Linked DNA regions of Kluyveromyces lactis. The protein of the gene in region 2 purifies or fractionates together with the protein of the main gene of each other region. This does not show direct contact. Links are inferred from orthologs where the notes say so. Each region holds a gene or a part of one and is shown on either strand. Other genes may lie near its edges.

The links.
Region 1: the proteins of CCR4 (region 2) and CAF130 purify together in Saccharomyces cerevisiae (affinity purification with mass spectrometry; 6 studies listed by BioGRID, with this or other methods). This does not show direct contact. The link is inferred for Kluyveromyces lactis from reciprocal best matches to the Saccharomyces cerevisiae genes CCR4 and CAF130.

What each region holds. Positions count from the first base shown.
Region 1 is NC_006041.1:351,902-370,002, forward strand, and holds CAF130 (CCR4-NOT core subunit CAF130), read right to left. Parts: upstream 10,493-18,101; coding exon 7,094-10,492; downstream 1-7,093. Other genes in the region: NCA2 (Nca2p), read left to right, coding at 720-2,522; KLLA0_E03873g (SH3 domain-containing protein), read right to left, coding at 2,799-3,461; MAY24 (May24p), read right to left, coding at 3,833-4,250, 4,329-4,333; PRE9 (proteasome core particle subunit alpha 3), read right to left, coding at 4,639-5,388; URN1 (Urn1p), read left to right, coding at 5,794-7,101; SUE1 (Sue1p), read left to right, coding at 11,499-12,074; KLLA0_E04005g (RidA family protein), read right to left, coding at 12,574-12,987; PEX4 (E2 ubiquitin-protein ligase peroxin 4), read right to left, coding at 13,218-13,694; KLLA0_E04049g (pepsin-like aspartic protease), read left to right, coding at 14,634-16,403; ubiquitin-protein ligase SAN1, read left to right, coding at 17,300-18,101. UniProt on the Saccharomyces cerevisiae protein: Acts as a component of the CCR4-NOT core complex, which in the nucleus seems to be a general transcription factor, and in the cytoplasm the major mRNA deadenylase involved in mRNA turnover.
Region 2 is NC_006042.1:1,461,388-1,477,404, forward strand, and holds CCR4 (CCR4-NOT core exoribonuclease subunit CCR4), read right to left. Parts: upstream 9,598-16,017; coding exon 7,225-9,597; downstream 1-7,224. Other genes in the region: SPO75 (Spo75p), read right to left, coding at 1-2,293; dolichyl-phosphate-mannose-protein mannosyltransferase PMT2, read right to left, coding at 2,725-4,950; nucleoside transmembrane transporter FUN26, read right to left, coding at 5,310-6,599; ATS1 (Ats1p), read right to left, coding at 11,026-12,075; STD1 (Std1p), read left to right, coding at 13,954-15,327; ATP-dependent RNA helicase DBP5, read left to right, coding at 15,726-16,017. UniProt on the Saccharomyces cerevisiae protein: Acts as a catalytic component of the CCR4-NOT core complex, which in the nucleus seems to be a general transcription factor, and in the cytoplasm the major mRNA deadenylase involved in mRNA turnover.

The DNA.
Region 1 (18,101 bases), on a different chromosome or scaffold from region 2:
AATATCACCAATGGTGGTCCCTTTCAGACACAACGGTAGTTATGATGCGTGGATATACAAAGATGAACTCCGTTCTGGTTTTTCTACAGCTGAAATTTTAATTCCCAGGATAAGATAGTGTGAAACCTAACAAACAACGTTTTATTCCTCCCATCTTCCATTCTGCCAACCCGGAATCTTCACAAATATCTAATCTTCCTAACTGGCGTTAATAAATAAATAAATAATTATTATCATCTTAATCACTAATATACTAATAAAAACTATAAACTATATTGATTATTCAGTTGGTATAAATCGATAATTCAATGAATAAATTCAAACTCAATAATAGAGAGATTTTTTTTATAGACGGCAAACATAAGTGCCAAAGACAAATATTACCCAGTAAGGTGCAAGTCAAATTGTGCCTTCCATTTCATATTAACACTGTTCCTTATCTTGAAGTATTCCGGCTCTTATGTCATCATCAGCATCCTTCTTTTTTTTTTTTTTTTTTTTTGAAGCCCCAGTCTCGTTTTATAAACGCGCGTAGGAACAATGGATTAGTGAAAAGGAAATATTCAATAGTTGTTCAATAGATTATAATTTCAGAATATCTTCTTATACTTTTACTCAAGAAAAGGGAGAAGGGTGGGGAAATAACTGGAAACAACAAGCGAGCGACCAATTACTGATTCAATTGTGGCCATCTTTTCTATAAGAACGGGGTTAGTAATATGTTGAATGATTCGTTGATTTCTCAGCGGCTAAAACAAGTCACTAACTCTCTCGAAGAGCAATTTGCTTTTTGGAGTAGGGACAAAGAAATTTCCCAATCGGCATTATCATTGCCGCTAAACGAGTTTGTCATAGAACTAAAACAGGAAGCTGATCAAGTGATTGCCGCCATCGAAAAGAATGTGAGACATGACATGCATTGGGATACATTACAGACAAAGTGGTCGCAATTGATATCTCACGGACAAGATACACGAGACGCAACTGCTATGAAGGACATTGATGTAGCAGGACATGAGACTCTTAACGATGATATTGTGACAGTGCCTAATGTCTCTACAGACATTGGTTTCGAACATGGTGTAAACGAGTCTCAGGCTACAAACGCGGACAAATATTTATTTGATATAATCTTGCAGTATATGGACATTTTGCAGTTCTATTATGACATGCAACTATCGATGGATCATTACCATGCTCTAGTACAGGCAAGGGACTATTATTCTAAACTCAGAGGATCAGTGTGGAAATACACTGTGATACCGTTCCAATTTTGGAAGCATGGATTCCAAGTATCGACTCTAAGGACTATGTTTACGGCCAAGACTTTGAAAGTAAACGACTTAGTGAATGCCGCTGATATCTTAGCAACACCAACAAGGCTCGTAAACTTCCAATTGGATGATGTATCGAAAAAGCTAACCTCGGAAATTGATTCCCTATTGGTATCAACAGGTGAAGAATTGTCCCGTTTTGAAAACAAGACATATGATGAGAATGATGGCGGTAAAAAAGCTGACACAGAATCGACTTTGAAAGATGTGTCCTTGGATAAAATCATGTCTCGTTTGAATGCCGTGTCCCATCTACAATTCACCATACCAGAAGACGTCCGTATCCCCCCTTGGTATCAGAGACAATGGTTTCAATTGTCTGTGTTGTCCATTTACGGACCTATGCTTTTGAAGAAACTCGTTCAAAACGGACAATCTCTATGGACAACTGTGTCTCAAGGTTCATATGAGTTTGTGTCAGGTCTTTGGGAAAATTGGATCTGGACACCGATTACTCAGATCTGGGACACCGTTAGATTCGATTCAGGAGAATTATATGTCACAACAAAGGACAACTTGACATCGGAATTGAACTCATTAATCCGAATGATTGTCGAATTTCTCCGAGATCGTTCTCCACCGGGAACTAATGTAGATGTTGATTCCTTAACGAAACAGATTATGGACGGTGACTTACAAGATTTTATGAAGATTTATGAACATCAGATCGAGAACCCTGTGAAAAGCATTGTTTTTGACAATATGGTTCGTTCGTTGTTGATTCAATTGCAAAAGGTGAAGGTTGACGGTTCGATGGCTATGAATGGTATCAACAAGCTTTTAAAATCTCAACAATTACTCTTTTCTATTGTGTCCTTACTTCCAGCGCTTTTGATTATTTGGGCTTTACGGAATTTCTTGAGCCATTCAATAAGCTCAGGTGTTGAATGGGCTAAGGATTTGGAGGGCACCAAGTTCACCATCAATAGGTCTTTGAATGAAATTGAAAGATTATTGAATGTGCCACTATCGGAAGAAGTAATCCCTCACGATGAACAGATGAAGAGTCTTGCATTACTCAACTTGGAGGTAGCCACGTTGAAAATGGTTATGGTCAAATATTTACCCAAGAATTATAAACCAATCTGGGTCCGTGATTGTAACGACCTCGGCGATTACGGTTCAACAAATGAAGCTAAGATAAACGTTATTAACAGAATTCATCATATGTATGGCAAATTTATGTAGAAAAAGTAGGTACTGCAAACATCAAATGCTAATTTCTACATATGCGAGCATATGAGCATAAATGAACCGCCAGGTAAATCTATGAGAAATAAAAAAAGGCTTGCAACGAAGAAGAAGAATAAACGAGTGTAATTGGCGGAATAAAACAATGATTTGTGTTTGCTTCTTGGCAAAATAAGACAAAATAGAAAGCCTGAGCTAAAAAAGCTCTATTTTCTGCCTTAGTAAGGTAAATTTATCAAAATTTCTTAGTAAGAAACATGGCATTAACTATCTCTAAAAGATGCTGTTCACCAAATCAGAACCAATGGTGGCACCGGCACCAAAAATGGCAGCATTTCCCAATTTACTTCCGAACTTCTTAAATGCTGCGGAGCCTTGATGACTGCTTTGTTCTTGAGGTTGTTCTTGAGGCTGCTGTTGAGGGTATTGTTGCATTGGCTGTTGTTGCACTGGTTGCTGGTAATAACCGGTAAACTGTGGTGGGAATGGTGATTGTTGTTGTACTGGCGGCTGAACTTGCATCTGCTGTCCAGGTGGAGTATATGCCGCATATTGAGGCAGATTTGCAACCGGAGTTGCAGAAGAGCTTCTCTTTTCGACATCTTTCGTGTCAACTGACTTCACATAATTGCTTGGGAACACACCGACTTGACCATTGCATTTGCCCTTGTACCACTCAGGACTTAACTTTTCCAAGATCTCGATCTTATCTCCCGGTTTCAAAGCTAAATCACCATCCTGTTGTGGTTGAAATGCATATAGTGCTTCCACAATCTCGTTATTTTGACCCATCGTATCTGCTACTGGTGGTTGTGGTCTTACTCTTGGTAACAACGATTCAATATCCTTATATGCTAACTCTGCTAATGCACCTTGCTCCTTCAAATACTTCAACTCTGACTTAATTGTAGCTACACTTTCTTCCACTGATGGCATCTTTTATACTTCCAATTCCTTAATATTTGATAAAATTAAACGATATGGGATATAGTCTGGATCTAGATGATATCTACCTTGTCCCCTAAGTATGACGTAAAAGATATCCTAACTGGTTTCTTCCAATTCTCTTATATCCTCTGTTTTCTCGAGAGCAATATTAACAGGTTTCGTTTACTTAAGTTACCTGTTCCATGTTTCTGGATTGGTTCTTTTTATAAGCCTTGTTCATTTTTATACCGACCGCACGGAAAAACCTATTCCAAAGAAAGGGCCGAGATGAGCTAAGATGAACTGTGTAGGTCAGGAAGGGAATGGGTCACGGTTAAAATTAACTATATAACCGAATGCGACTAATATATATACATCACTCATATGATCGGACTTGTCATCGAGTAACTTGTGCTCACGTTAAATAAAATTTGGACCACAGCACAGCATAAGGGAATCCATGTAGACATTGCAAATAACCCTGCCTTATATATGATCGCGATCAATATACCCACCACAGTTCCCGAGACAAACGCCTGCGCCATGCCTATCATTATATACAATGGGATCATCCAAAAGCCGAATAAGATTTTCTTGTGTGTAGTCCATGCGATTGCACCTGTAGTTCCGTATACTATTGCAAATAGAATCATGGTCCAGAAGATCGTAAACCTCCATATATCGGGGAGGTAGTAGAGATATGCGACGCTGAACTTACCATTGTTCATGGGCCAATATAAGGATGGGAAATCGGGCACCTGATACCCAACAGGCACATCTCCTGTAATGAAGAATGTTCTTTTGATGTTATAAGTGTTAGTAAAATTAAAGTTTCTGCGGTTTAAACGGCGGATATAACGCTACCATCAGACATACTTCATAGCATTTGCTTATTAGACCGTGGTTATACTAAATGAGTAATGAGATTAAGCCCAAACAGTTACTAGCTACGAGTTTTCTTTAATTTGTTTTATCCTTTTTCTCAACATTGCATGCGCGAATAGTATTTTAACAACAAAAAGCTTCAATTCTTTAATTAATTGTAAAGGTAAAGACGTTTTCGACAGTAGACTGATTGAATGATGATTACATTCTAAAACACATACGTACTTATATATGGCAGTGAGGATAAAGGCAGTTAATGTCCAGTAGTTGAACACATGTGTTGGATGACTTGTCGTTATCGTTAATCATCATCCTTCTTTACTATTTCGGTTTTTTCCAATAGTGTAGCGATCTCTGTTGGTTTATAGATCTTCTGGTATATCTTCCCCTCGGCATCCTTGCTGATGGTAGCGAATTCTAATCTTTCGTGGGTCAACACACTTGAATCTGTAGTCTTAGATAGAGTCTTTAGGGCTAGTTCGATGGCCCCATCCAGAGTGATATCGTCTTTATAATCCATTTGTAGTAAAGTTTGAGCAGCTTGTGTGTTGGCACCAACAGAGATGGCTTTCCAACCGGAATAGTTACCAGATGGGTTCGAGGTATACAACTGGTACCCGTATCTGTCATCATAACCAGCATAAATGAACGAAACACCAAATGGTCTCAAACCACCATGCTGAGTATACCCTTGCTTCAAATCGGATAACCTTCTTACTAACATTTCAACAGGTATTTCCTCATTATACGTCTTCAAATAGCTCTGAGCCTGTACTCTGGCTGTATTTATTAGAATCTCAGCATCTGCAGTTAACCCAGCTACTGCAACCGTAATATTATCGTTCAACTTGTACAATTTCTCACTTGAAGTATCTTGTTCTAATAGTTTCGATGTCACTTTTCTTTCAGCTGCTAATACAATACCTTGTTCAGTCATGATACCAATCGCAGTACCAGCATGTGAAATGGATTCTAAAGCGTATTCAACCTGGTATAATCTTCCCTCTGGCGAGAAAATGGTTGTTCTCGAATCGTATCTTCTGGACCCCATCTGTTCTGACTTCTTAGTTGTTCTTTATATTCTCACAGACCAATTACCTGTACGCTCACAGAAATGCTCTTGCTGCTACTTTCGATGAACTTTAGCTACAAGTTTAACTATCTGGTTGAATCCAATTGCTGTTCAATCTCTAGTTTCAAAGGTTTGCCACTGGATTTCTTCTAACTTTGATTGTATTTTATTTCATTTTAAAGGTCGACATTAAAAAAAAAATAAAAGAACGAACCTTTGTTTAACGGCTCTTCAATGGATTTTCTTAGTGAGAACAACCCAGTGTACGAGGTGGAAGACCTGTCTCAGAGATGTTATTTGCATTGCTGCACCTGTCTGTGAAAGTAAAGTTTTAAAGTTTTAACTAAATTGGCGGAGAGCCCATTGTTCCTATCTGAATCAAGTATGAGCGAATGGAAGCGATTTAAAGATCCTTCGGGGAATTTCTACTACTTCAATACGAGGTCCAAGGTATCCACAAAGGAAAAACCAAAAGAGTTCGGAAGCCAGCAAGCTGGTATGAAGGAATTGAGAGTGCCAGTGTTCTGTTTACCTCTACGAAACTACTGGAACCTAGTGATTTGTAAAGATGGTTCCAAATTCTTTCACAACGATGAATCTAATGTGTCCCAATTCAAACTGGCGGATGATGAGAGTAAAGCTTTGTTGGATAAAGTTGATACATCTCTTCTTGCATTGCTTATAGGTGTAGCACGAGGGTTCAATCTTCGAAATGACCGTGACGTTTATGGAGAGATCAGAGATGTTTTACAAGCAAAACTCGACAGTAACGACAAAGAACAAAACGATATCACTGAGGAGAGACCACAAGTAACAAATTCTAACGTGGACACGGAAGATAAATCCGAATCGAGTAATATTTTAGTTTCTGGTTACTCTTCCTCATCAGATGATTCTGGTGAAGAATCAGAGGTAGAAGAAAAGAATGATCCATCTTCTATAGATGTTAAAGAAGAGGATACGCTACCGTCGTTGAATAACACGGAAATAGAATCTAAGTTCATTCAATTACTTAATGAAATTCAACTAGATCCTTACTCAACTTGGTCGATCCAAGCAAAGCGGATAATGCATGATCCACGCTATTATTTGATTACTTCTAATGACAAACGGGATGAACTATTTCAAACGTGGTGCTCTCAACAGCTCAATAATTCAAATAATGATAATGAAAATAATGCACAAGATTCAGCTGAAAACTCAGATGAAGAAGATTCAGACGTTACTCTAGAACCAACAAAGTATCACTACTTGGCACACATTATTTCAAAAGCGAATATCACTCCTGAAACCCTATTCTCTAATATCAAGAAAGAAAATAAATCTCTTTTCAAAGAACTGGAAATCAATAAAACTCTTACCAAGAAAGAACAAGAACAGTTTGCTTCCAAGGTAATCGCCTATTACAAAAGAATGGATAACCTACAGCGCACTGAATTATTCAAAAAGATGATGAAAAATAAACTTCGGTTTCCTCCGATATCGGAAAAGTTATCGCAGTTGATGCTAGAAGAGACACCGTCGGACTCTTTTAAGTTAGAAACTCAACTACTTCAATTGGAGAACGCGCTACTTATTCTTGATAATCTTCAAAATTCCTACATGCAAAATGAAATTATGTACTATATTCTGGGTATCAAAGACAAACTAGCCGCTCTGAAAGAAATACTACGAGATCAGTATTCTAAATAGACATTTCATCACACTCTTCCTCTGCTTCTTGCTGCCGAGCTTCTAATATGTCTAAGTAATCAATATCAAAGACCGCCAAAAATTCTCTATGCAATGATTGATGCGTTCTGATGTCCAGTGGCAGAATATGATCGTGGTACTCCAAAGTTATCCTTCCGTGAATAGGAGTTCCTTCAGTCAAAGGATATTTCTGAAGAAGGTGACGGAAAACTTTGTCAACAGGCTGTCCATCAAGAGATTGAACTGGTAGCATTCTGGAGAACCTTTCAGACATAATGGACGTCTTATCACCATTCTCAATGCTTGTATCAGTCTCCGTATCCCATCTGTCATCTATGTCACTTAGTTTTAATTTATCAAAATCTACTGGCAAAAGCTGATCATCAGGGTCAGTATTTGGCCGATCATCTAACCCCTCGGTCCCTAGATCAAGAACTTTCCCTAAAGCCTTCGATTTCAAAAGAGCATACATGGAACATGCTTCAGCAGAAAACGTCGACCATTGCATCAAAAACCTTTTTAATTCGTAAACGTAATCTTCATGTGGAACAAACTCGAATTCCTTATCGTTTAATACTTCTTCTAAAATGAAACACACCATCTTTACTTTCCCAGACATCTCAGCCTTACGCGATGTTGCAGAGAAGAACTCCTCACCATAATCATCTACATACACTTTTGAAGGATTTTTAATTGAAAAAGCTTCAAAACCCGCATCATTATACTCACCTAGCAGTCCTGAAGACACACCCACGAAAAATTCTTGTAGCAACATTTTTTTCTCAATTGCAGAAAGTTCAATAACTCCTTGTCTAGAGAATTCAATTGCAGCAACCCTTTCGAATTCTCCAGTGGGTGTCCAGCTAAGAATCCCCAATTGTTTGTTCTTAGTCGATTCTAAATCATAACTCCTGGCAGGATTGCCTCTTAGACCGAATAACAACTCATACACGTAATGGATGGACGAGAAAGTGTACGACCTATGTGTCAAGTGATAGATTAAGAGCCTTCTGTGCCCATGGCTCATCATCAACTCATCGAAGATTTTCCACCCTAAGCTATCATTGCAGCCTGAAAATGGAAAAGGCTTTATAATTCCTCCATCATCATTAAAAATTGCCGTAATAACTTCATCAGTAGAAAAAGGAAGCACTTTCAAATCTACCTCTGCAGAAGTGGCCGTAATTAATTTCAGTAGAATTTGTTCTTGTTCTAGCTTCACACATGTTGCAATACTTCTCAATACCGTACAGGCTTGAGAAAACGTTACGTTTCTATCTGGTAATCGTCTCAACAACTCAAAGAGAGAAACTTTGTCCAACTTAGACAAAAATTGGTAATCATCCATATAATATAGATTTAATCCACGAGGTATATCCCTCCAATCATCACCGTTTTTATCATAACCTGTTGTAAGATGAGAAACGAAATCATTTTGAGAGTCTCTGTGCGTCATTAAAGATGTGAAAGCAACAGCATTGCTACTTTCGCTAAACGTTTGAGGGGTTTCAGCTTCATTGATCTGCCCATTCTCATCCAATCCAACAACGCTTTTTTCACCATTATAGTCATCATCATCGTCATCGTCATCATCGTCATCATTGTCGTCTTCATCACTAAACTTGCAAAGGCAGCGCTTGTAGAGTCCCCTAAGCATTCTGAATCTATTTTTCTGTTCGAGTTCATTTTTAGTAGATGTAAACATAAGCTTACCATCTGTTAGCTTACTTGTATCTGCATCATTGTAATCAAAGTACTCATAATCAAACATATATCTGACATCTTCATCAATTCTATCTCCTTTTTGTATATCAGTCAATAATTCAACAATTTCGTCATAATCCATACCTGATGGTAGGAGTGCTGCGAAATAATACATTTCATATGTGTAAAGAGCCCCGTTGCATAATTTCCTTCCATGAGGAGACATGAACCCACCAAAAGGTTGATGTTTAAAATCGTGCAACTTCTCATCCACATGACCGTTGAGAATCGTTGCGATAATTGAGCGCAACGCAGAAGCTCCACGAATGACTGCACTAACAATTACTGGAGTACCATATAGCATCTGCATTTCCTCAAACCTATCTATTTGCAAACCTAACACTAATGCTGAACTTAAACCTCTCCATGCTCGAAGCATCATAGGTAAGAATGGGTTCAACCTCGGCGGCTTATCAGAGTGCATCTTGTGCATCGAATAGAAAGATAATCCTGCAATCATATAAAGAATTTCCATTTCGGGCGGAGAAAGATCGTATGGGATCCACGATGTCATGTATTTAGGGTATGCATCAGGGCTTCTTGCTTGGATATCTTTCAAATTGTCTAGAGATCTATAATCCCAAATCTGCAACATCTGCAAAATAGCCAATGTAATAGTTTCCAAATTTGCGCTCAAATGAATTTTCCAGACTTTCTGGTAATTGGGTATCAGTTTAACAATATAAGCAGTCAAAGAACCTAGATACAGGTCATGCAATAAATCCAATGAAATTATATGAGAATCGTTTGGAGGAGGTTGAGTCATGGGATCCGCAAATAAGCAAAGTGAGTTAAATTGCTCTGCAAGGAGTGGATGAGGCTCTTTGTGTAACCCAAGCTTAAAAAACAAATTAAATCGATCAGATTTGCCATTCAAGTTTAACGGATTGTGATCATCTTGTTTTGACAACGGTGGATTATTATGCCCAGAATTCTTTCCGTATGATTCTAGTGAATTCAGCCGTATATCGCCAGTTTTCAACTGAGAGAGAGCACGAACCATATCATTACCAAAATTCCCTAGAGTAGATAAAAAAGTAGAATTACGTTCTAAAATTGTAGTTGGAGATTCTGCATGTGATGTGGACTGCGGAGGGGTAAACCATTGGTAAGAACCATTAAATTCATACAATCGGTTGTATTTCATTAGACATTGCAAAAACTGCGAGCCGTCAAGTTTCTTAAGAACACTTTCTATCAAAGGCTTAGCATTATGCAAATAATCTAGTAAAATGTTGGATGTATCCCATAGTGGTGCAGTGAATTTGGGGTCCTGATTCGTGAGAAGAAATCTCATAGCCATTTTAAACGACTGATCTGAATACCTCTCTAAATCGATATGATCCGTTTCATTCCTTAAAACCCACCCTAGAAATAATGACAAAATATGCTTATCAGTTGCCCAAGTACCGAAAAGTGCCACCCAGTAGGGATCGTTCATTCGTATCAGACACTCAACCCCATCAACGTCATTTGTTCGTTTGGCATCATTAATCAATTGTGTGACAACCGCTTGTCCAGGAACCGTGGTAAAAAGAGCAATGACGAGTTTTTCTAACAGTACGCTCTCATCAACATCCGAATCGGCCAAAAATAATCGCTGAACAGAACTCTTTTCCTGTAGCATGGTAAATTGGAATGCGTATGCAAATTACACGGCGCTAGAGAAAAGGGTTTTCTCTATAGTCCAGAAGAGTGAGTCTTAAAACAAAACAAACGACCGATACCAGGGTAAGCAGTAGCAGCTCTTCCGTTCGTTCCTCTTCACTGACTCAGTTAAGTCCAGCTCAATCCTCTAAAAGTACACCCAGCTTCATTTCATTCGATCTCTCATCCCACCTCATCTCATGTTAGAACATAAACTATAATAGTATTATAACATTTGATATCTGTAAATGTGTTTTTCAAAAAAAAAAAAAAGATGGGTTCCTCCAAAAAAGTTCAGTAACGTGATATTCACGTGAATATCACATTCCTTTAAACATTTGTAATACACCCACACACCCGCCCCGAGATACCAATCCTTGATCCGATATCGCCGAGAGCACCAGCTAACACTGCATATACCGTTAGCCGGTTTTTGCATTTCTTTACTTAGTTTTTCAGAATTTGGCTAATCTCAATTCTCACCCATAAACTGAGCTAGAAACACGCGTGGTACCCGAAGGTTTGCCCGCTATTTCCCCCAGAATGTTTGAGTCTTACACAAGAAAAACCAGGGGTGTGTGAAGTCTTATTTAGACACATAGTGACATAGTGTGAAAACGAGTCGGATTGACTCGGTGAGCAACGTATGACATATGCGGTTTCATCATCCTTTGATCTGACATATATAAAATGAGTATATATAGTTCAAGGGTTTAACGCTTGGATTATCGTCTCGAAATTGATTACTTAGTTGCTTTAAGTATTTAAGTATGTGAAATTACGTGATTTTCCTAAAGCTCGGTGGATTAATATTTTCAGAGGAAACAGGGGATTAAATCGTTTATCGGAAATATCGTGTTTTCTTGTCAGACTATTTAAAAGCAAGGTCTGATAACGTACTGTCGGACAAATAAGAATCTAAACAGGTTTTACTATCTAGTTGAAAGCATCAAAGCATCGAAAAAGTATAATACAACCATAGGAAAATGCCATTTCCAAAGTCCAAAGCCACACAAATGTATAGACAGCTTCCTCGCGTGCCAACGACAAGGTTTCTTGCGCCACAAGAACTCACGGCTGACATTTTGTTCAGCGGATACAGGCCTATTGTGTCTCCGCTGAGGGATAACCCGCTATTCCAAGCGAAAGTGAAGGAACTAGAAGTGGAAAGGGAGAAGAATGGGGGAGGTAAACTAAAGTCTAAGGCAGCTTTCGCATCCGAACCAGAACATCCATTCATGGCCGGTCCCAACGGGACCGGAGGGATCTTATCTGGGGGCGTGAACGGGACGTGGCGTTATAATCCACGGATACCAAACAAGTTGTTACAAAGCGCTCTTTGGTCCAGTAGTGCAATGGGGATGGAGTTCTACCCTGAATGGAACGATGTACCTAATAAAGTATCTGCAAGTTTGAAACCTTATCAGTTGGATCAACCACAGGATAAGAAGATGACCTTGAAGTTCCCACCAAAACAGACAGATGAACTTTCCGACGAGAAGTCGGTAGATCAATACGAAGAAGTGGTTCAAGAGTATCTACAGCAGTGGAAGCTGAAATAATGCACTTTATTTTGGGAATGGACTGATCCTACCCCATCGCTGCATACATTAAACCTATCATTCAATTCACCGTTTTAGAGGAAAGCTGGTCTTAACTTTGGAAAACTCATTAATTCTTATCAATCGGATACCACAAATATACACATAAACAAGCTGCAGGCTCAAGTCTCATCCGGTGCCCTTCTATTTTTTTCTTCCTAATTATTACAATTCAATGCTCTTCACATCGCAGCAACCTTATTCGACATCTTACTTGATTCGGACACTACACGCCGTTCACCTTGTACTTTCACCCTGTGCCATGGTAATTGAATTTGCTTTTCAGTTATTATGGCATAGATTGGATTAAGAACATTCGTAAATTTCCCAGCAAAGTCTGTTCTTTAAACATATATTCGTTAACATATAGTATAATTAACATGCTATAGAGGCATATATATAATAGGCTTTTCCACCACAGTTTTTGGAACGCAAAGCCCGGAAAATCTAAACCCCGCCTTCACAACTTGAACCATCTTTTCTTGGATGGAATCTCAGCGATACATTCTAATTCGACTTTCAATTTATTGTTGGGGAATGCAACGACAATGCACGATCTAGCAGGTTGATTAGGGAAGAATTCTTTGAAAACTTTGTTAACGATACCAGCGTAACTACCATCGGAAACGAACAGCAAGATTTTCAAGACCGAATCAACAGAAGATCCAGATACTTCAAGCACTTTCTTCAAATTGATCATGGAATTTCTAGCCTGTTGTTCCAAATCCTCAGGTAGTTCATTGGTAACAGGATCTGTACCAACACAACCACTACTGAATAGTAACTGATTCCCCGATTCTGTAGCGAACCCAGGTGAAATTAATGGGAACCCGTCCTTAACCCCAACGTCTTTCCATGTAATCTTTCTAGCCATTTCTCTTTCGATAATCAAGTGTCTCCACCCCGCGAACAATAGGGAAGCTAGGCAAAAAGAAAGTACTAAGTCAAAGTAACATACATTTGTGTATAAAACATGTACAAAGGAATATAAGTTGCATCATTTCCATCATTTAATCCTTTTTCAATCATTCCTATTCAATTTCACTGCAAGGAAAAATGAAAAATCCAGCCATGTTGCTGTGTATTTCTACGTAAAAGTCGTACTCAAACGCGTGCCAACCGCGCCTCCTCAAGTCTATACCTAACAATCTGCACGTAGGCTTCATAGTCAGCATCGTATATCTGGGCAATGTCTAGATCTAGTGGCGAGTCCAAACCAGGGTCTGCCAACAAATCTCTTATAGCTCCAACAACATCTAGCAAGGTATATATCGGGGTCCATGCATCTTTCAAAAGATCTAGGCAAATCTCGCCCGTGTCCCACTTCACGTTAGGGTGAGCCACGGTACGTGGCTCAAACAGAACCCGAGGACCGCCACTGATCGGATACTTTTCCAGATCTATGGTAATGTTCAAACCCAACTCAAACCCTTCAAACGGCGATTCTGACGGGCCTTGGAATCGACATACCCATTCGGATAAGTCATCATCATCTACCGGTGCAAGAAAACTGATCCATGAGAATTCAGGGGTCTGCAACCGTTTCTGCAACCCCATATACTCCTTAACAATCCTACTCATCTTCGATCTTTAATTTCCCATGTGTGTGTGTGTTTGCATGCATGCGTGCTTGCGTGCGTGCAAAGACCGTCAATCAATCAATCACGTCACAGAATTGAACCAAATTGAATAATTTTCAGTTCTTCAATAAGATATAGGAAAAAAATTGCAGCAAATCACCCTTTCGGCGATGGAGTGCTCAGGCAACAAAGTTGTCAAAATTTCTTCACCCAGTTACTGCGTATTACGGGTATTACTGGAGAGCCAGATAACTTAGTGGTCACCAAATTGCCAAAACGCTTCAAATGACAACTCAAAATAAACCACGTCCGTAACCTAGTTACCCAGATATACTTCACAGGACAGACCCTGAGGAGAACGTAGCCAACACAACTACACAACTACACATTGCTCTACATTCTACAGAGTAAAAAACATACTCGTCATCGATGGGGCTTGGCCCGTTACGCTCCCATCTGCATTCACGGTGTGTCCTCAGTTCTTTTTTTTTCTTGCCTCGTTTCATTTCTATATTTAATCGTTGACGAAATGCCCCGCTCTATGAAGGCTTGTGCTTGTTTCCCGTGTCGAAAGTTGGCGATGTGGGAACTTTGAAACGTTGAAAAAAAAAAAAAAAAAAAAGGAAGTTCTATGAAACTTGCCTTATTATAAAGGTTTTTTTCCCACGATTAAACGTACACTGGAAAATGTTTCTACCCATCTTGCATTTCACATCACGTACCTTCTCTCCTAAAAGTTTGAGGTAACTGACTCATTGAATTGGAAAGAAAACAGCGGCTATTGTCTTAGCGTATATATATAAAGGGTCTTTTCATTTTACAGAAGACGTTATACTTTGGCTGACGTCTTTTTTTCTTTAATAATTAAAGTTCATTTCTTGGTACTGGTTACTAATTCCCCCTTTTATTATCCAAGGCGCATATATAGCAAACACCAGCAATGAAGTTAAGTGATGTTTGTTTGGGGGCGCTGTTGGCGTCCCTTGGTTCTGCTGGGTATATTACGAAACGTGACGTTTCCCAGGTCGGTGAGGCGAATAAGAAGCATGTCTTCATGTCTTTTGACAAGTTGAGAGGGAATGACGCGTCTGAGGCGTCATTATCGAAGAGACGCGTTGGCCATTTGAAGAAGCGTGCAGATGGTTACGTCGACGTTGAAATCGATAACCAGAACACGTTTTACTCTGTTGATTTAGAGATTGGTACTCCTGCACAAAAGGTTGGTGTTTTAATCGATACTGGTTCTTCTGATTTGTGGGTGCCTGGATCGGGCAATCCGTTCTGCTCCGCTTCTAGGTCTTCTTCGAAGAAAAAAAGACAGGATTATACTGCCCTGTTGTCGTCTTTACTGAGTGTTTTCGGTACTGATGTAGCCACCGATTACACTTACACTGGTATCGCTAGTGCCACTGGTAGTGCTGGTACGCAAACAGTTCCTACTGCACTCACATCGGGTACAGTGGCTGCTACTTCTATAAGATCTGTCCCATCAAGCCTGGCCACTTTGGATTGTTCTGAGTTTGGTACTTTCGACACGTCAAAGTCGTCTTCTTGGCAATCAAATGACACTAGATTCTATATCTCTTACGCGGATGGTACCTTTGCTGATGGTGATTGGGGTGTAGATGAAATTCACTTGGACGATGTCAACGTCACGGGGCTCAGCTTTGCTGTCTCGAACTACACAGATTCCCAATTCGGTGTCTTAGGTATTGGATTGACAGGTTCTGAATCCACTTATTCCGGTCAGTTAAGCACCTACAACCGCTATCAATACGATAACTTCCCTATCGTGTTGCAAAGAAACGGCGTCATCGAAAAGAATGCATATTCTGTTTTCTTGAATGACTTAGATGCGGATTCTGGTTCTATCTTATTCGGTGCCGTCGATCACAGCAAATATACAGGTACGTTGTACACCGTTCCAATGGTCAACGCTCTCAGAAGCATAGGCTACACTGAACAGATTAGATTATCGATCACTCTACAAGGTATCGGTGTGACGAGCAGTTATGGTAACGAGACTGTGACACAGACTAAGTACCCTGCATTGCTAGACACTGGTGCCACATTCTGTTACTTCCCAAGTAGTTTAGCTGCTGCCATTGCAAGTTCTGTTAGTGCTACGTACTCTTCCAGTTCAGGATACTATTTTGTGGATTGTGATTCTGGCAGTGATTATGATCTTGTCTTCGACTTTGGTGGCTTCCATATCATATCCCCCTTAAGTGATTACATTGTTACAACGAGCAGTTCTTCCCAATGTGTCTTGGGAATACTCCCTCAATCTGATAACGAAATTACTTTAGGTGATGCCTTCCTAACCAGTGCTTACGTTGTTTACGATTTGGAAGAGCTCGAAATCTCGCTAGCACAAGCTTCTTACACTAGCGGCGACGAAAAAATCGAGGTCATCAGGGATTCAGTGCCAAGTGCTGTTGCAGCTCCAGGTTACTCCAGCACTTGGTCTACTGCCGCAAGTTTATCTACTGGAGGTAATATCTTCACAGTTACCAACAATGCTAATGGTACTGTTTCGACTGGTACAGGATCTTCAGGCTCCGGCAGTTCAACCTCCGGTAATTCGGGTTCAACCTCAACCGGTTCCTCTTCAAAAAAAGAAGGCGCTGCCTCCAGCTTGCCAGTACCACACTTGGCTGCGCTAATTTGTCTACTTCTAAGTGCAGTTTCCATCCCATCCTTGTTCTGAGCTGAGGAAGACTGTTACTTAATAAAAGCAAAAGAAAAAAAAAGAAAAATACACACAAACACACACGATGCAGACTTCTATCAGAGGAACTTCGTTTCACATCATCTCACATTTGGTCTTACTCTCTTCGTCTATTTCATTGTCTTAATTTAGCACATTTTCGGTTCTTTGTCAGATCAAAGATTCTATTGCCAATAGAAACCCTTTCACTGCCCAAAAATTGATGCGTTGCTCGATCTCCGTTCCACTTGCATAGGAACAGAAAGCCTATAATCAGAATTTCTTTTAACACCCTAGTTAATTCAATTTCTCACATAAGCATACTCTCTATCAAGAATATTGTTCAACTTACCCTCGAACTATTTCGACAGGTCGAGCATTTTATATTGATCAATTGATTCCGATAATTTGTTTGAGTGAACAAAAATCCCAACCAAGAGACGGACACTATCTTAATTAAACTCAATCAGCCCCTTGTCCAGCCAATATTTACAGTTCTATGTATCTCTTTTAAGAATTATAGGTTTTTCTGTACCACTATAAGCACATAAAATTTACATTGCTGTAACCCCGTGAGTATGTAAGTTGAGTGTTAATATATATATTTTCTACAGTCTACAGCGAACCATTACTAATACCCAAGTACTCCTCTTATATTCTTTCCTTTGCTGGGAATAGGTGTGTCACATGAAAAGACGTTCTCAACGTCTGGTGTTCCCAACCACAATCAGAGAGATTTCCGGCATTTTTCCAATATGGAACTTCAGTTGATTTCTGAGTATTTAAAAAAATGATAAAAATGTGTAGCACTTCGAATTAGTGATAACCTTTTTGGACTGAGAAATAAAATTGATTTGTCAGTGGGGCTCAAAGGGTCAAACGACACGGCAGTTGTTATGTCTGATAACCATGATCAAAGCCGTGATAGTGCTCCTGACCGTGGGGGTAGCGAATCAAGTGAGAACGGTGCAAGCGGCCCATCCAGAAGCCATTTTACAATAGCCATAAATTATGCCAGTTTATCAGGGAATGATGAGCAAGCTGGCAACGATGCTGCTAACACAGCATTCACTCCTATGATTTTGAGATTTGCAGATGTCCCGAGTGATACTTCTTCGGGGAGGCTAAACGAAGTGATAGCGTTAGCCAGCGAATATATTTTCCAGACACTAACCAGGGATCAAAGAAGACACAGTGGACTTACGAGAGAAGCATTTGAGAAACTTGAAGTACAGAAAGTTGATACGCTGGACGAAAAAACCTGTGCTATTTGTTACGATGATTTAATTAATGACCCCAAGGATTTTGCCAGTACTTCATCGAAGAGAGGTCGGGAGGAAATTGGTAGTGCCGAGTCACCGAATTCTAAAAGACAGCGTAATGAAGAAGCAGCACCGCTACCACATCAAGAAGGCCTACCAGAGAACGAATCAGATCAACGTGTAGATAATGAACTGCCTGATCCTGAATCAAGTGCACACCACACAGGAGAACAGGAAGGAGGTCAAGAAGACACTCCTACTTATGGACATTCAGCCACGGTACTTCCTTGTGGTCATGTATTTGGAAGAGAGTGTCTTTACAAATGGACAACAGAACATAACAGCTGTCCGATCTGCAGGGCACCTATCTTAAGCGAAGAGGAATTACAGGCTCTTCACAGCAGCGATGATACGTCCTCAAGAGGAAACAATGGAC
Region 2 (16,017 bases):
AAAAACTAGCCAATGGTAGTACAAATGGTGCGATAACGGAGTAAATAATTGTAATACTTGCCAATACTGAAAAAATGGGATATAAAGATCCCCACTGGTAACAAGGGACATTTAATTTGTACTTCAATTTTTCCCTTGGTGTTCTGTTTGACCACCTATAATAGAATAAATAAAAGAAAAGGTTCTTCGACTGCAAAAGATTACCACCAAAGTATGCTATACCTCTGATCAATACAAATGAACAGAAGAAGTTCGAACATTTAGGTAAATTTGTTCCCAACAAATGTGGAATATTTATTGGATTATTCACCACTGTTTCAACAACAACTGAAATATCAGAGGAAATAGTTACGACGAGAAATATATGAACAAACAAGAATGCAAAGAACCATTTCTGAACATCCATTTCAATTTGTGCACCAGTTTTCAAACATTTAACCACACTAAACCACCTAAAGAAAAGAGGCACTCCTTCAGTCAAGAAGATTAAAGTAACTGCTGGCACAATGCTGGCAATAGGCTTTGACATAAATTCAGGCAAATCCTGGAAGTTTGTTAGAATGGGTACGATTTTGGTGATAATAGGAATTTGGGAGACAAATCCAACAATGGCGACTGGCACAACCCAACCAATGATGATCGCAACGTTTAAGAAATTCGATATTGCAACCCTTAATAGAGCCCAAGGTCTATTTATGGTTTGAATATTGCACCAAATAATATCTGTTGGATTAATACCTAGAGCTTTATCATCACTCATTTCTGAGTCCTTATTAGATAACAACATTTGGTCAAAGATATGTGCAAATGATACTTTTCTGAAAACTATAAAAGCTTGTCTGGAACTTTTCCTGTTAACGTCACATTCCATCTCTTGTTGCATCAAAGACTGTTCGTACTTCTTCATGTACTGATCTAATTTAATTTGCTTCTTTTCTATTATTTGTTGAGCGCTCCATTCCAAATGACCTGGTTCAAACCATTTTGCTTCCTTATCACGTTGAAATCGAAACCCCAATAACATATTACCGTTGATAAGTTCTTTTAAGAGAAATAAAGTTCTTTTCCAATTATAAACGAGCCTGTGGTATTTTATTTTACAATGCACCCTTTTATGATACATGTAGGGAAATTGATATAAAGGGAAACGTGCCAAAGAGTTGCGCTTCTCATAATCAATGGGTAAATCATAGGAAGCTGCTTTAGAAGCTGGTAAAAAAGTTTTCGTTAACATGATATCCAATTGTCTATTCTCAATCTGGTTTGTCAACCTATCTAATTGTTGACCGAGAGCTTTTGTTACTTCCCAATTATCAGGTAATTGCACAATTTTCTCGACACACCCTGGTATTAAAGATTCACAGAAATACTCTATTTTATTTTTATTAAAGTCTTTGCTGATATTACCGATATAAAGAACGTTTTGATGATAACTGGATGCTTCAATTGATCCTGTTAGAACTTTATTTCTTTCGGAGACATAGTACTTCAATTCCCGAAGCAATACGTGATGAAAAAAACACACCAACAAAACCGCTAAAATCAGATGAAAAACCAAACGATTACTGTGAGCGGGTGATATATTTGACATTGAAATCTTATCCAATCCTGTCAGGCCATATGGTAAGTGATTCAACATTTCATCATTCGTTAATTTATCGTTAAGCTCCATTTGTGATATATAACTCTGGATATCAGCAGTTTTATACCCTGAAATGTAATGAATGGGAATTAATATTGGGATGATGACTATCGACAATATAAGAAAGAACATAGATAGTGTTTTCAATAAACGTAAGAAAAAATAAGCATCCAATCCTGATTCTCGACATTCTTCAATAGATGTTGTCCAAGTCGGTTTGATCCATGACCACGGTTTGTTACCCAATGGTTTCGCTAGTGATCTTTTATTCTGTTCTGTATTCCCACTTGCAACTGTGTCATTTTTTTTATTTGGATACAAACTTGTGTTTGGCTGGTATATGTGAGTTAACCTATTTCGCAATATGCTGAAGAGTATGACTTGGATTATGCAAAAAACAAGAGACACTAAAACACCTGAAATGAATGAAGAAAAGGTTATCCCAAATTGCCGTTGTGCACTACCAGAGCGCGTATTGGATAATAAAGTTTTGAGTAACCCCGATGTATAATTTCTGTATCGGGATTGCAAAGGAGACGTTTCTTCTTTGTAATTAAGAACCAATATTGCCGTGTTGTCATCAACTTCAACATATTTATAGATTATTTTCCTTAAATAATCCAGAGCAGTAACATCGTTATCATGATTCATCTCAAAGCCTAGTTGGTCCCTGGCCAATGTGTCGGAGACGAACCCAACCAAGCGCGGTTAATATTGATGAATAGTAGAAGTCTTTCATGAGCTTTGTGAAATGATAGCTTTTCACCCCACTATGTTACATGTCACAAAAAAATGACAGCAAGCTAAATTGTTTGACAATCACCAAACAAGACTTTTATACTAAGAAAGTAATTACCTCCAACTTTGCTATCCAGTGCGAGTGAATTGTTATCACTTTTTGATTTTGGGGTCATCAGAATGACGACAGCATTAATTTTTGTGATCATGATCTAATTTAATAAACTATTTTATTTTATAAAATATATAACTTTACGTGGATAGTGAAAGTGCTTGAAATAAAAGCTTTTCCTATATTAACCATAATTTAATGATTTTCTGGATGTTTCGTTATGAAGATGTGATCAATCTGAGATAGTCCAGGTTGATAACCAGTTTAGGTATTCGTAATCGGTGCTTGGACCGGACATACCGAAAGAAATTGGGGCAAAGTAGTAGAAGCCATAAATTACGATAGCCATGTATGAGCCATAAATGGTGTATCTCATTACCTTTCCGCACTTAGATTTGTTCCATTTCTTCATCGAGATTTCGAACAAGTATGCCAACACTAATAAAGCGAAGTATAATGCTGGCAAGTAATGGTGGACGTAAGTAACTCTACTCATGATAATAAATGGAACAAAGTGCAAGCCCCAAGCCAACAATGGATAGATACCACCCATCAAGAATAAATTAATATCTTCTGGATTTGTTAGGTCAGAGTATTGACGTTGCCATCTAATCAAGTACACGGCAACCAAAACCATAAATGCTAGAACGGCGATAGTAGATGGCCAGGTAGAAGCTGGTGAACCAATTAAGAAATATTTGATGTTCTGTTCACCCCATCCACAAAGTCTGATACCGACATTTAGAGTTGGCCATTGCCAAGCGGAAGATGCTAATTTGTCCAACTTTTCAGCATTTGGAACCAATGCGTTGTTGGTAGCCATCATAGCCAAGTTCAGATGAATAAAATCTTTGATGAAACTAGTCTTTGGGTATTTGAAGTTTTCAGGTCTTGGAGGTAATTTTTCGTTGACGTTCGTTTCAATATTCCACCAAGTTCTCTTGTCTCTCTTGAAAGGATTCTTAACACAAGCGACTTCATTTTGTCTAAAACCCCATTGTGGCAAAGTGTTTCCTGTTTGAGATAGGTAGCAACCCATTTCCGCATTTTTCAATCTGAAAGAAGAAGTCAATGGATGTAATTTTGTTTCGTCTTCAGGACCCTTTTGGTCAACGATTTCGATGATCCAGTCATCCTTTGGATCACCAACCTTAGCATCACCGTAACCGGAAACTTCCCAAGCATTGGCTTGAACAGGGGCTCTATGAGGATGGGTGTGTAAATTTCTTCCTGTGTTGAGATGAACTAAACGGTATCTAGCACCATCGGTGACAAACTCAGTTTCTGTTTCGTTTTTGTCATATGGTGCGCTGAATCTTTGTCTGTCAAACGTCCAGACGTTATTACTATCTTTGTGGCCATATGTGGTAACTTGTTGTTGCTGAGAACCTTCTGGATAGGTCTGGATATGAGAGTGCAATAGACCACCTCCTAGGGCCTGGTTCTTGATAGTAATTTCAGATGAACCTAAAGCGACGTCACGTGGCCCTTCACCAACATCGGAACCAATCAAGTTTGCTTGGAACAAGGATGGCATATTAGCATCACCAGTACCAGAATGGGACAAAAGATCGAAATGGATCTTGAAACATGCTAAAAATACGGCAAATGGAACCAAGATTAAAAACACAAATCTGGAAGCCCAGTGAGCAGCGTATACCTTTTTTGACATCTTAGTATCTGCCAACATGTTCCATAGATCAACCACTGTGTAGATACCCACCATAGTAATGATCAACAGACCGACCATCTTAACAGAGATGGTACAACCAAGAGAGAACCCAGTGTAGAATAACCATTTCCACCACTTTTTAGTGAACGGTTTAGATCTAACGTTGTGGAACTTCACGAAACAAAACATGGACAATACAGTGAAGAACAAAAGCATCGAATCTAATAGAATAAATCTGCCTAGCGTGGTGTAAGAGTTTTCAAATAAAACTAAGGTAGTAAACAACCAAACGGTTGGTAACGAGAAGCCAATTGACTTAGCAGTGAAATAAGCAACTGGAACACATAATGCAGAAAACAGAGCATTGAATAATCTCATCTTGACAAAATCAATGTACTCTGGGTATTGCTCACCAGACGGGAAATCCCATGAACCGTTGTAACCGGCCAAGTAACCGGAAAAACCGACCAACATCTTACCCAGTGGTGGATGCACATCATGATAGAATTCGTGTCTTAAATAGTAAGATCCAAACTTACCGAAATGTGCCTCATCCCAAACAACATGGTCATTAGCGCCGATCTTGTACATTCTGATGAAAAAGGCAAGACCTGTAAAGATAATTGGCATCAAAATTGACTCCAGTTTCAACAATGGACTTTCGTTGACATGCTTCTGCTTTGAAAGATCTTCAGCTTCAGGCAAAACTTCAACTTCCTCAACAACATCTTTGCCTCTGTGTCTCAAGCTGCTCTGCAACTCGTCTCCAGATAATGATGCTGACATTTCCTGTAGGTCAATTCGTCTTATCGGGCCTTTCAAACTAAACAAGATCAAAATAATGAACGAATTTTTGCAACATTCACGAACTGATATTTACTTCAGTTCATGTTAATCAAAAAAAACACTTCGTTAACTTTATATAATATCGACGTGTTCAGTTTTTCGGTTTTTTTCAAGAAAAAAAAGGTGAAAAACATCATATACAAGGCAAGGAGCTAGTCATGTGACCTGCATGGCAACAGGGTCTTGCAATGTGACACGAAGTAGTTAGAACTAAGGATAATAGGAGTGCCGATAGTTCTAATATATAGTAGATAGACTTTCACTAAATTTCTCTCTTTAACAGTGAATATTATAGTATATTACATCTGTGAAATGATATATGCAAATAAGTAACTGATAACACTGCCAGACGCTAGACCGATTGACAAAAACACATTGGTAATGCCTCCTGCGGCTTTTCTTTCGTCTTCTGTATCTAATGATCTGCCGACGTTCATGAAACTACAGCTCGCCAAGAGTCCGTTGGTCAATCCAAACATGAATTGCCAGAAACTGTAGGATAGATCGAGAAACACACCAAGATGTGAATTCTTTCTAATGTTTCTTACGTTGAATAGGAAAAACACCGCAACCATTAGGATACGTAGCTGAGAGTAGATGAATATCTTACGTGGAGTTAGCATTTTGGAATTGAAAGTATGTTCTGCGATGATTCTTCCAACTAAATCGCCAATGTTCCAAAGCATGAATATGAATGGAATGAATTCAGAATTCCTTAACGGGAATCTTACCACGTACGTGTTTGATGCAAATACTGGGAAAATTAACGTAACGCAGAAGATGGTAAATATAGAGAGCACAAGGTACCTTAATTTCAGGAAAAGCACTTTGAATGGGACGTAAACCTTAGGCTCATCAGCTGTCCGCTGAGCCATATCTCCTCCAATGATAGGTATATCACTTTTTTTATATGCCACGATGGATGCAAACGACATGACACTAGTGGATAAGAAATATAGATTGATACCTGTCGCTGTTTGTTCCTGTTTTTGATTGAAGATCGAGACCATGAAGAGCACTAGCGACGGTAGTACCCCTGCGACGGCTTGTCCCACCATCACTGCATGATTGTATTCTGGTCCGAAAACGTTAGCCATAGCCATGACACCGGTTTGAGAGAGTGCAGTTGCAACGGAACTGACAAGCACTAGAAACATAATCATGATGAATGACAGTAAGTGGGATAACCAACGATGGAATAGTACCACACCACATAATGAAGTAAATACAATAATTTCGAAGAACAATCCACTAACAATTCTTTCAGTGTAATGATGTTGAATTTTGGATAAAATTATGTTAGACAGTACCGATGATATCGTACTAACTGTCATCATGGTACTGATGTAAATCCTTGCATACACCGACGTGTCTTGAAATACATCATGCTGGAAATATAATGACGCACTTAAGAATGAGTTCCACGGCCAAAGTAATGCAATACCGATAAGGAAAAATGCAAGATAATTAGTATCAGTAAGCTTGATGTATGTAGATTCTTTGGAAAGGTCCTTGGTTTGTATTTGGGAAATAGGATCATTTAATGCAGTTCCCGTTATTGGAGTTTCGTCATTTTCTTCTAGTTCCATAATTCGATGAAATATTTGGTGTATTAATTTTCCCCTTGAGTCTATTTATTCAAAATACAGACCAGCCAATGTATATATTGACCAAGTACTAATTAAAATCCCTTCATCAGTAATTTTGTAGCTTGCATCATTATGTTTTCCCATAAAACAACAATTTTCTGAAGGAATTCCTGTTTAGTTTCCAAAAATATGATAAGGAATTTACAAAAAAATCACTTAATCCGTCCAGAGACAGGAAAAGAAAAAGTGAGAAAGCCTGTCAGTTATACTTGGAATAGACTTTAAAACATTAATATACAGAAGAAAATAAAGACTAACGTTATAAATGATGAAGTATTAGTTGAAATGATGGGATAAACCGGTTTTAACATCCTAAAAAAAAAAGGCACTTCTTAGAATATCATTTCTTTGGTGGATTTTACCGGCACATATGGTTTTGTTGTATCAATTGAGAAAGGACACAAGATGTCTGATGTATCTTCTATTGATAACGTTAAATGAAATTTACAATTACAAGAGCAGGATGAAAGTGAATGTGGCAATAACTGGTATAGATATCTTGATAAAGCCAGCAATAAAGGGAACAAAAAGAAGTGAAACATGATTGTAAATAAAATTAGTACAATTACACTTTCCTGCTGGATGTTTGGGTGGCGTTACCCCTTGAAATTTCAAATCTTGTGACAAGAGGGATGTGGTCACTTGGGAACTTATCGTTAGGGAACCCAATAAACTTGGATGCATACTCCTCGTCGATCTTCCCTAGTAATCCGCGAACACGTAGTGATTGAGAGGAATACCAGATATAATCGATGACGTCGGTGAAGGAGGGTGTCATATTTGTGAATGGTAGTTCACCAATGGCGCCGTAACTTGATCTGAGCGACAAATTATGCGAGAAATTCTTCTGTGACATATAACCGAAATCTCTTTGATCAATATCTTTATGGTTTGCCGTGACGTGACCACTGTTGAATAATTCTACAACAGCAGAGTCTAATTGGGAGTTAAAATCACCACAGATGACCATAGGAATCTTCTTTATGTCATTGTTATTGTTTACATGGTGGTGCTGTTTGATTAAAGTCTCTAAATAGTCCAGCATCACGCCAACTTGGAAAGTTTTAACATCATTAAATTGTGGATCCCAATGTAAATGAGTAGTGACCACCCACACATTTTCGTTTGTATTCAAATGCTTTAGTTCTGCGATTAGCGCAACATTGTCCTTATTCATAGCACGATTCAAATAATCTTCTGTACGATGGAATTTTTTATGGCTTCTCCAAGCAGAACTAAAATCAATTGAATCTTGGAAGACCAATTGGAATTGATCCTTCTTGTAGAAAATAGCACAACCATCGACCTTTTTGGAATCCTTGGCGTGCATTGTCTTGGCTCTGGTCTTAGCGTGGAACAAGCAACTATAGTTATATTTTTCCATAAGAGGAACCCAATATTCCTCATATGTTAAAGTTTCAACTTCTTGCAAACATATAACATCTGTGTCAAAATCTAGTAACTGTTCTTTCAACTTTTCTCTTCTGTAATCCCAGCTTAACGCCCAAGATGGAGTGAAACGGTACATCTTTGGAGTAGCATAATGATGACACAACGTATTGTAAGATAACAATGTGAAGCTATTCTTCAATAAAGTATTGTTCATGTGATTTGTATTCTCTTGTAATGACTCGTATTCGTTAGTTGGCTCGCCATCAGCTGATATTTCAATAAATTTTCTATCCTTGGCATATGGGATTTCAGGCGCATTATCTCTGAGGTAAAAGATTAATCCAGTGACAGACTTTTCAGCTATAATTTTCACGAGTTGTTTATCAAGAGGATTGCCCTCCAAACCCAAAAACTGCAAGTTAAACAAATTACCAAATTCCCAGGGGATTGTTGTGATCATATTGTCAAAGAAATATAAATATTTCAACTGATAGCACATACCTAACTCTTTTGGTAGTTCTGTCAACCTATTATGAGACAAGTCTAACACTCTTAGATTTCTGAGTTTTTTGATGGAAGAGGGTAATGAAGTAAGGCTATTACCATTTAAATATAAACGTGTCAAAAATTCGTAATGGAACAGTTTTTCGTTAAGATTGAAAAGGGCCAAGTTGGAAAGGTCTAACGCGTGCCATAATTGATCATCATGTTTAGAGTTCGTTGGAGCTACCATGCGATGTTCAATTTCATCGTCTTCGTCGATATTATATTGAGACAGCTTCTTGTGTTGCAGAAGTAGAGAAGGTGTATTTGGATGAAGCTCTGCTTTTGGAGTATTCGGAGTTGAGAACCCTGTAGAGTTTAGATCAGAATTGACATTAACAGCAGATGCAGTAGCTTCATTACCGGATGAGGCCATCTCCATAAGATGTTGTTTAGTGTGCTCGACTAAAGACATGGATGCGTCATTACCTAAAGGTTGCTGACCTTGTTGCTGACCAGATTGACTTGGTTGTTGTTGCTGGCCCTGCTGCTGTTGTGACTGAACGCCATCTTGGCCATTAGTAGACAGTCCCAACTGATTTTGATTATTTAAGAACTTCTTCATGGCGTTTTGTCTAGCATACACATTCGATTGACCCAAAGACTGTCTGGAAACTGCAGCCAATTGAAGCTGTAACTTCCAAATTGGTGAATTCAACAACGAGGGGTCCGCTAAATGTGGATGGCATAACGGATTATTAGCATTGGACAATTGCTGAGCCACTAACGCAGCCTGGGCTGCATTAGGTGTTCCAACATTAGGAGGACCCACAGCTTGCTGTGGTCCCCCTGCACCGCCAGTTATCACATTCTGAACCTGGTTCATCATCATAGGAAGGACATTGTTTAGTTGGGCCGGCTGATGTTGGTTTCCTTGATTTCCCATCAAACCTGGCGGATGCTGGTGAAGCTGCTGAGTAACAGCTTGCGGCGTACCCACCATCTGAGGCACCGCTTGCCCAGCAGGTTTCTGGAATCCTGACAAGGGAGGCGGATAATTCATTTGCACCAATTCAATTATAATGTGTTGATAATAGTTTCAATTTTTTTCACTGCTGTTATTCGTTGATTCCTGTTTAAACTTCTATTCGTTGTTATTTCCAGCTTTTCTAAATATCAATATCAGTTTAGAATCTTACAACTCTCAAAATATGCCCAATGACCAGTTCTTATTTCTTAATATGTTTTCGGTTTAGTATCTCGATTATATTAAATTCTCCTCTTATATCAAATAAAAAAAGCACAGTCAGTACAGTAATAACTAGTCGTCTGATGAGGCTGTAAAGCTTCCTTAGTTGCCGAAGTCTATGTCTTTTAATGTTTAATGTTTTAATTTCAATATAAGATTTATTTAGTTCTTTCAAAGAAAAAACAAAGTCTTAAAAACCGTTTGATAAAAGGAAAACAAGAAAAAACACTCAGTAGAACCTGTGCAGAAGTGGAAACAAAGAGAGGTAACAATATTAGTGAGTGGTAAATAAAGAACCGGGGCACAGGTAGATGCACAATTGGTGTAGCTCTGATCTTTAAATGCCAATGTTCTTTTCTATGTTGTTGAGAATATTCCAGTTTCTGTAACTATCGGGGGTTAGAGCTTGCTTGTTACTGAAGAAGTGACAGCTGTTGCCACTCTGGTCTCGATACGCTCTACTCTGAGCTTTCGTCATTTTGATCGTTTTATTATATTACCCGGACCACATATCTGATTATGGCGAGGATTATCAACAGTTGTACTATTACCCGGACTTAATTTATTCGTGTAACGATACGCGGGTTACTATTGTTCACGGATATAGCAAGATAGCATAACAATAAAACAGTACAAGAGATTCCTGATTTGCGATAGTTATAATAGGTGCTCTAATATTACGAGCAATACCCAGTTAATTGCAGTAAATAAACCATTTACAGTTACTAAGGCCCTATTTCTTGTGAAGGACTTATGTATAAAAAGAAAAATTGAACGTTTTAAAATAAAAAAAACGAAAAGTATCTGAAAGTTCATCGCACACAACATACTTACAATATGATAACTCGTTATTAACAGTTGTATCGTTTATTATTTTTCTTCTAAAAAGATCAGTAAGAACTTGGATAAGTGATTATCTGGGTTCTTGCAAGGGACTTTTAAAGAAACTGGGCTACTAATCATCGTATTGATTTATCTTTCTCTGTTGTTTTCGAATAGGAAAGTGTGATTTTTACTTTGATTTCTAGTTGTTTGGGTGATACGAGTCTCTAGACATCAATAATCAAGAAGTCTATACATATTTTCCATGTGAGCCGCCTGGTATTTTCATTAATTGCCATGGTTGTATATTTTATATTTTCAACATGAATATGGGAAAGGTACTTCTTAACATTTTGTTACATAGATGCATATATACATTAGAGAGCGTTCTTCTCTTTGCTAAGAGAAAATAATCGGTGCTCACGTAACCAACACTAACCATGTGGTCGCACATCCTCCGAAGATGCTAACAACTTTTTCGTATTTTCCTATCATATTAAGGGGGCTGATAACGTTACTCTTGTCATTGATCGGATTTGTCTCTGTCTTGAATAAAGACCCACAATTACCGTGCTCTCCCCAGCCCCAACAATATACTTTCATGTCAGCAGTAGTTACTACCCCATGCTCACTACCAGTAACAAAATCCAGAGTTTCTGAAGGCAGAGGTTCTTCCAAAAACTGGCCATGAGAACCTCGTCCAATGGATATAAGCTTTCGTTCACCAGTAAGAATGTGTAACGAGGACCACATAGAGTCAATCTTGGCAATTGATCCGAAATCATGCGACAACTGTGATATCAATTCGGGAAGTTCTTTTGCTAATGACCCTTTTATAATTAATTTATTTTCAGTTCTGGAAAGTACACAGGTAAAGTCCTTTCCTAAAGCCATCTCGATATCAGACGTATCCCCCTCATAAATCACCTTTGGTTCCTCAATGATTTTCAAGGCTGAGTCGTCACACACTTGTAGCTTCCTATTATTGCCCCATCCGTATATCTTCTCCGGAACAACCACTACGCAATGCTGGAAAGTTGCATAACATCGGGAGCCTTTTGGATCTTCACATCGGAACAGATCAATCCATTCTGTACTGTGTTTCAACCTAGGTACCCCTAATTCGCCTTTATCACCCCTTCCACGGGTTTTAACCCAGCCATCCTCATCAATAACTATAGTAACTTCCCAACCACATGCAATATCGAGAAATTTCCCTGGAATAGGGATCCATTCGAGACTTATTTTAATGTCACTGGAAGCGCATTGACCAGAAGAGTTATCGCCACACCAATACAACGACCCATCTTCTAATAATAGTAGCGAATGGTTGCCCCCACATGACACTTTTTTAATACCAACACCATCACTTTGAAAGCTCAATTGAGGCAGCATCAAGTCCTCATCGTGTCCTACACCCAATTGGCCATTCCCATTGGAACCAAAACATAGTAATTCGTAACTTGCCATATGTCAAGAGAAACACAATATTACGAATGAGCACGCCGATTTGAGTCGGTATGGCTGTGTCAGGTAGTTGCAAGTGTCATGACATACCAAAACACCACATTCGTTTACAGCTGATGCACATTTGATATGCAACGAGTAGTAGAAAAGGCTAAATGCAGTTGGCTGACAGATTTCCGGTTTCTATCTGGTAAATAATTCCTGTCAGTCATGTGACAAAAAACATAAGCAGCCCGGAGCACATCACACCTGATCACGCCCGGGGCTCTCTGTTTTCTCCAAAAAACTGTTAACACGTTCGGAAAAATGTCGTCCGGATAAACCCTTCATAATTTTTGGGAATCTTTACCTTGAATATAGACCCACTTCCCCTACCATCATATCTTATTCTCGACCTTCGCATCTATGGGGCCGACCGAAGCAACTTTTTTCGTAGTAAAGTGGGAGACATGCGGAAAAATTTGTAACGTGGCTCCTTGTAATGCCCAAGATTCAAGGAATCGTTGGGCACAACGGGCCCGGAACAATGTTCTGGCCAAAACTCATTGCGGTGTACAGATGCTTAAATTATTGCATATGCGGTCCACAAAGGATATCAACCCTATTCTTACGTAGACGAATTCGTTGAACAACACAACCAAAAAGAAAATACAATAAAAAAAAATCTGGGCCACCGGAGCTTTTCACGTAGTCTTCCGGAAAAATATCTCAGTTTCCTACACCCTTTCAGTGCAAAAGGATGTCTCCCCACATCTGAAAAAGTTCATTTGGAATAATATTTTCTCCCTAAGGAATGTCTCCAAAAAAAAAAAAAAAAAAGGAAGCAAGGTATTTACCGACCAGTGCGAATTGACCAATAGTTTTACCGAAGCTGGAAAAATGTTGCGTACAGAAAAGGCAGAACATGGCATAATCCGCAGTTGGATGATGAGCTGAGGGTATCACTCAAAAGCTATAGTCAGAGCTCGGAAGAATATCCAGCAGGTTGTTTCCAGAGCAATCCCTGGCTTCAATTCATGTAGTATCCCCGGTAGAGTGCGTATGCCAAACTCACGTCTCAAGTGTTATGTAAGTAAATTCGTTCGTTAACTATTCATGTTCGGCAACAAACCCAAAGTAAAAATACAACTGGAGATGTCCCCCTAGGCCTATTGCCATACAATTGAAGTTCGTACGCTCTTTGTCCCGACATATCTGCCGTTTTTATTGACCGTATTTCACTGTGTATTGTTTATTCTCCGCCGTTTCCAGCCTCGGGTTTTTTCCCATTCACACTATACAGAGTGGATTTCACTTCTGACATATATATAAGTATGCATAATATTATACTTGGCTCCCTCTTTTAACCAAGCCATACGTATGATTCCCAAAAATTTACTTAAGAATACAACATACCAAATTCCTACCATATATTGTTCTGTATCAAACTGTCATCGTATTACCTGTGTTAGGTATCACTTCAAACAGCAACCTTTTTTCAAATCACCATTTGTGCGTCGGTCTTTCTTCCGATTATCCACGTAGAATACAGACACAAATTTTTTCCGGGCTCAGAATTTTTCAATTTTCTAGATATATCCATTTTTCCTTTAAAAAGAACACTTTCAAAGAGACGGAGATTATCAGACGTTTAAAAAGAGAAAAAGTAAGAACAAGCTCGAAACCGATCTCCTTTATCGTATATTTTTTCTGATAAAAGCACCAAAATCCCATAAAGTGGCTTACCAGGTTGGTCGAAACTCTGGCTGGTTAACAGAGCCACATATTTAACGAAAACAATTTACAAGAGGAACAAAAAAGTGAATCAAAAACCGGCCGTAAAAATTCATTTGCACTAAATCGAAACGGCATCGAGATATACACAAATATTCTCCTACAAAGATGTTTGTCTCACCTCCGCCCACATCGGCCACAAATCTATTACCTGGGGTACTCGCAAAAAGGAAAACCAATGACCTAGCTACGATACCAGAAGGTAAGAGTAGCAGTTCGCATAGTCTACCACAGGATCAACCCATGCTTAGTAACAATGGAAAGAAGGATTTTGTCAATGCCCCTCCAGAGTTTGCCAATAGAGCTCGTGATGAGATTAAGAGACGGCTATTACAGAAACGTTCAGGATCAACTGGTGGCGCCAGGTCATTACATTCATACCGCAGTAATGCATCATCTTCAAGACAAGATTATGGATCGGATGCGGCGTCCATTATTACTGGGCTGACGATGTCATCAGGGACAGGTTCCTCGATTTTCTCGTCACCCTCTTTCAATACAATTTCTACGCAACTTACTGATGCGTCATCTGTGATAGATCAACAGGACTCGAAACCTTTGACACTTACACTAGAGCAAGCTTTACCAACAATATTCTACGACATGTACAGCCCAGATATTTTGATGAATCCTCAAAATTTGATGAGCAACGGAAGGCCGAACTTTACTAAGAGAGAACTTTTAGATTGGGATATTAATGATATAAGGTCGTTACTCATAATAGAGTCCTTGAGGCCCGAATGGAACGGGAAACTTCCTACCATAGCATTCAATCAACTGCAGGGTAACAATGGTACGGAACCATCTATTCCTGAGTTCAGGTTCCAGTTATTACCACTGAATTCCCCAGATGAATTCATCATATCGACGTTGGTAAGTTCTGATCTTTATATCGAAGCTAATCTTGACTACGAGTTTAAGCTAACCAGTGCCAAATATACAGTCAATTCAGCTAGGAAAAGACACGAAGAGCTAATAGGCCATCACGAACCAGTCATGCAACTATCGAAGCCTGAATGGAGAAACATTATAGAGAACTACTTACTTAACATTGTAGTTGAGGCACAATGTAGATTTGATTTCAAGAAGGCTTGTTCTGAGTACAAAAAATGGAAGTTAGATCAACTGAAACAACAAGCTCTCCAACAAAACATGATTCTTCAGCAGCAAAATACTGTAAAGAAACCTAATATGCCACCTCCATCAATAATACCGAAGAAGTCTAAGAATTCGCTGCTCAGAAGGGCACTACTAAGAAACTCTCAAATCAAGATCGAGGAACAATTGGAACTTGAACAGCAACAGGCTTTGCAACAGCAACAACAACAAGCTCCTGTGCCATTAGTCGAAGTACCTACGAAAGTGTCTTTAACAAAAGACGAAAAGTCAATGGTCTGGTCCCATTGCCAACTGCAAGTGTACCAAAGACTAGGTTTAGATTGGACACCTGACAATGTCAGTGCAAACAGAATCCAGTCATGATCAATTGGAAATTACAATTACGGAAAACTTTCTCATTCTAATGAACATATATATATATATATTTTTTTTTTTTTTTTTTTAATGCTATCCCTTCAACTGCGTACCAAGCTAAATTTATGACCATATCTTGCACAGTACTGCCTTAAGTGCAGTTATTACATCACATATTAACAGTATATAAATATTTATTCGTTTAGTTCGATTGTAACTAGTATTATTCACCAGGTAGGGTAACTATATTTCCTCCATCTTTCGTTGGTTTAAAATTTACAAAGCTGCAGAAATTGAAAACTACAGAAGTATTAAAGACATAGAATAGCAGAGGTAAGCTATTGAAGTTGTCTTTGCTAATTTGTGACACTGCATACCCATCGGTGAAACCAAAAAATCACTTCAAGATGGCACAGCTAAGCAAAGAAGCCAGTGATTTGATGGCTCGTTTGAACATCAAAGAACCTGCAAAAAAGGCATCTGAGGACAATGACACAACATCTGAAACTAAGGTTGAGAAGGAAGATGCTAAAGAGACTAAAGCTGAAGAACCAGCAAACAAGGTTATTAACTCTGAATACGAAGTGAAGGTTAATCTTGCCGATTTGCAGGCAGATGCAAACTCACCATTGTATAGTGTAAAGTCTTTTGAAGAGCTTGGTCTATCTGAGGAGCTTTTGAAAGGGTTGTATGCAATGA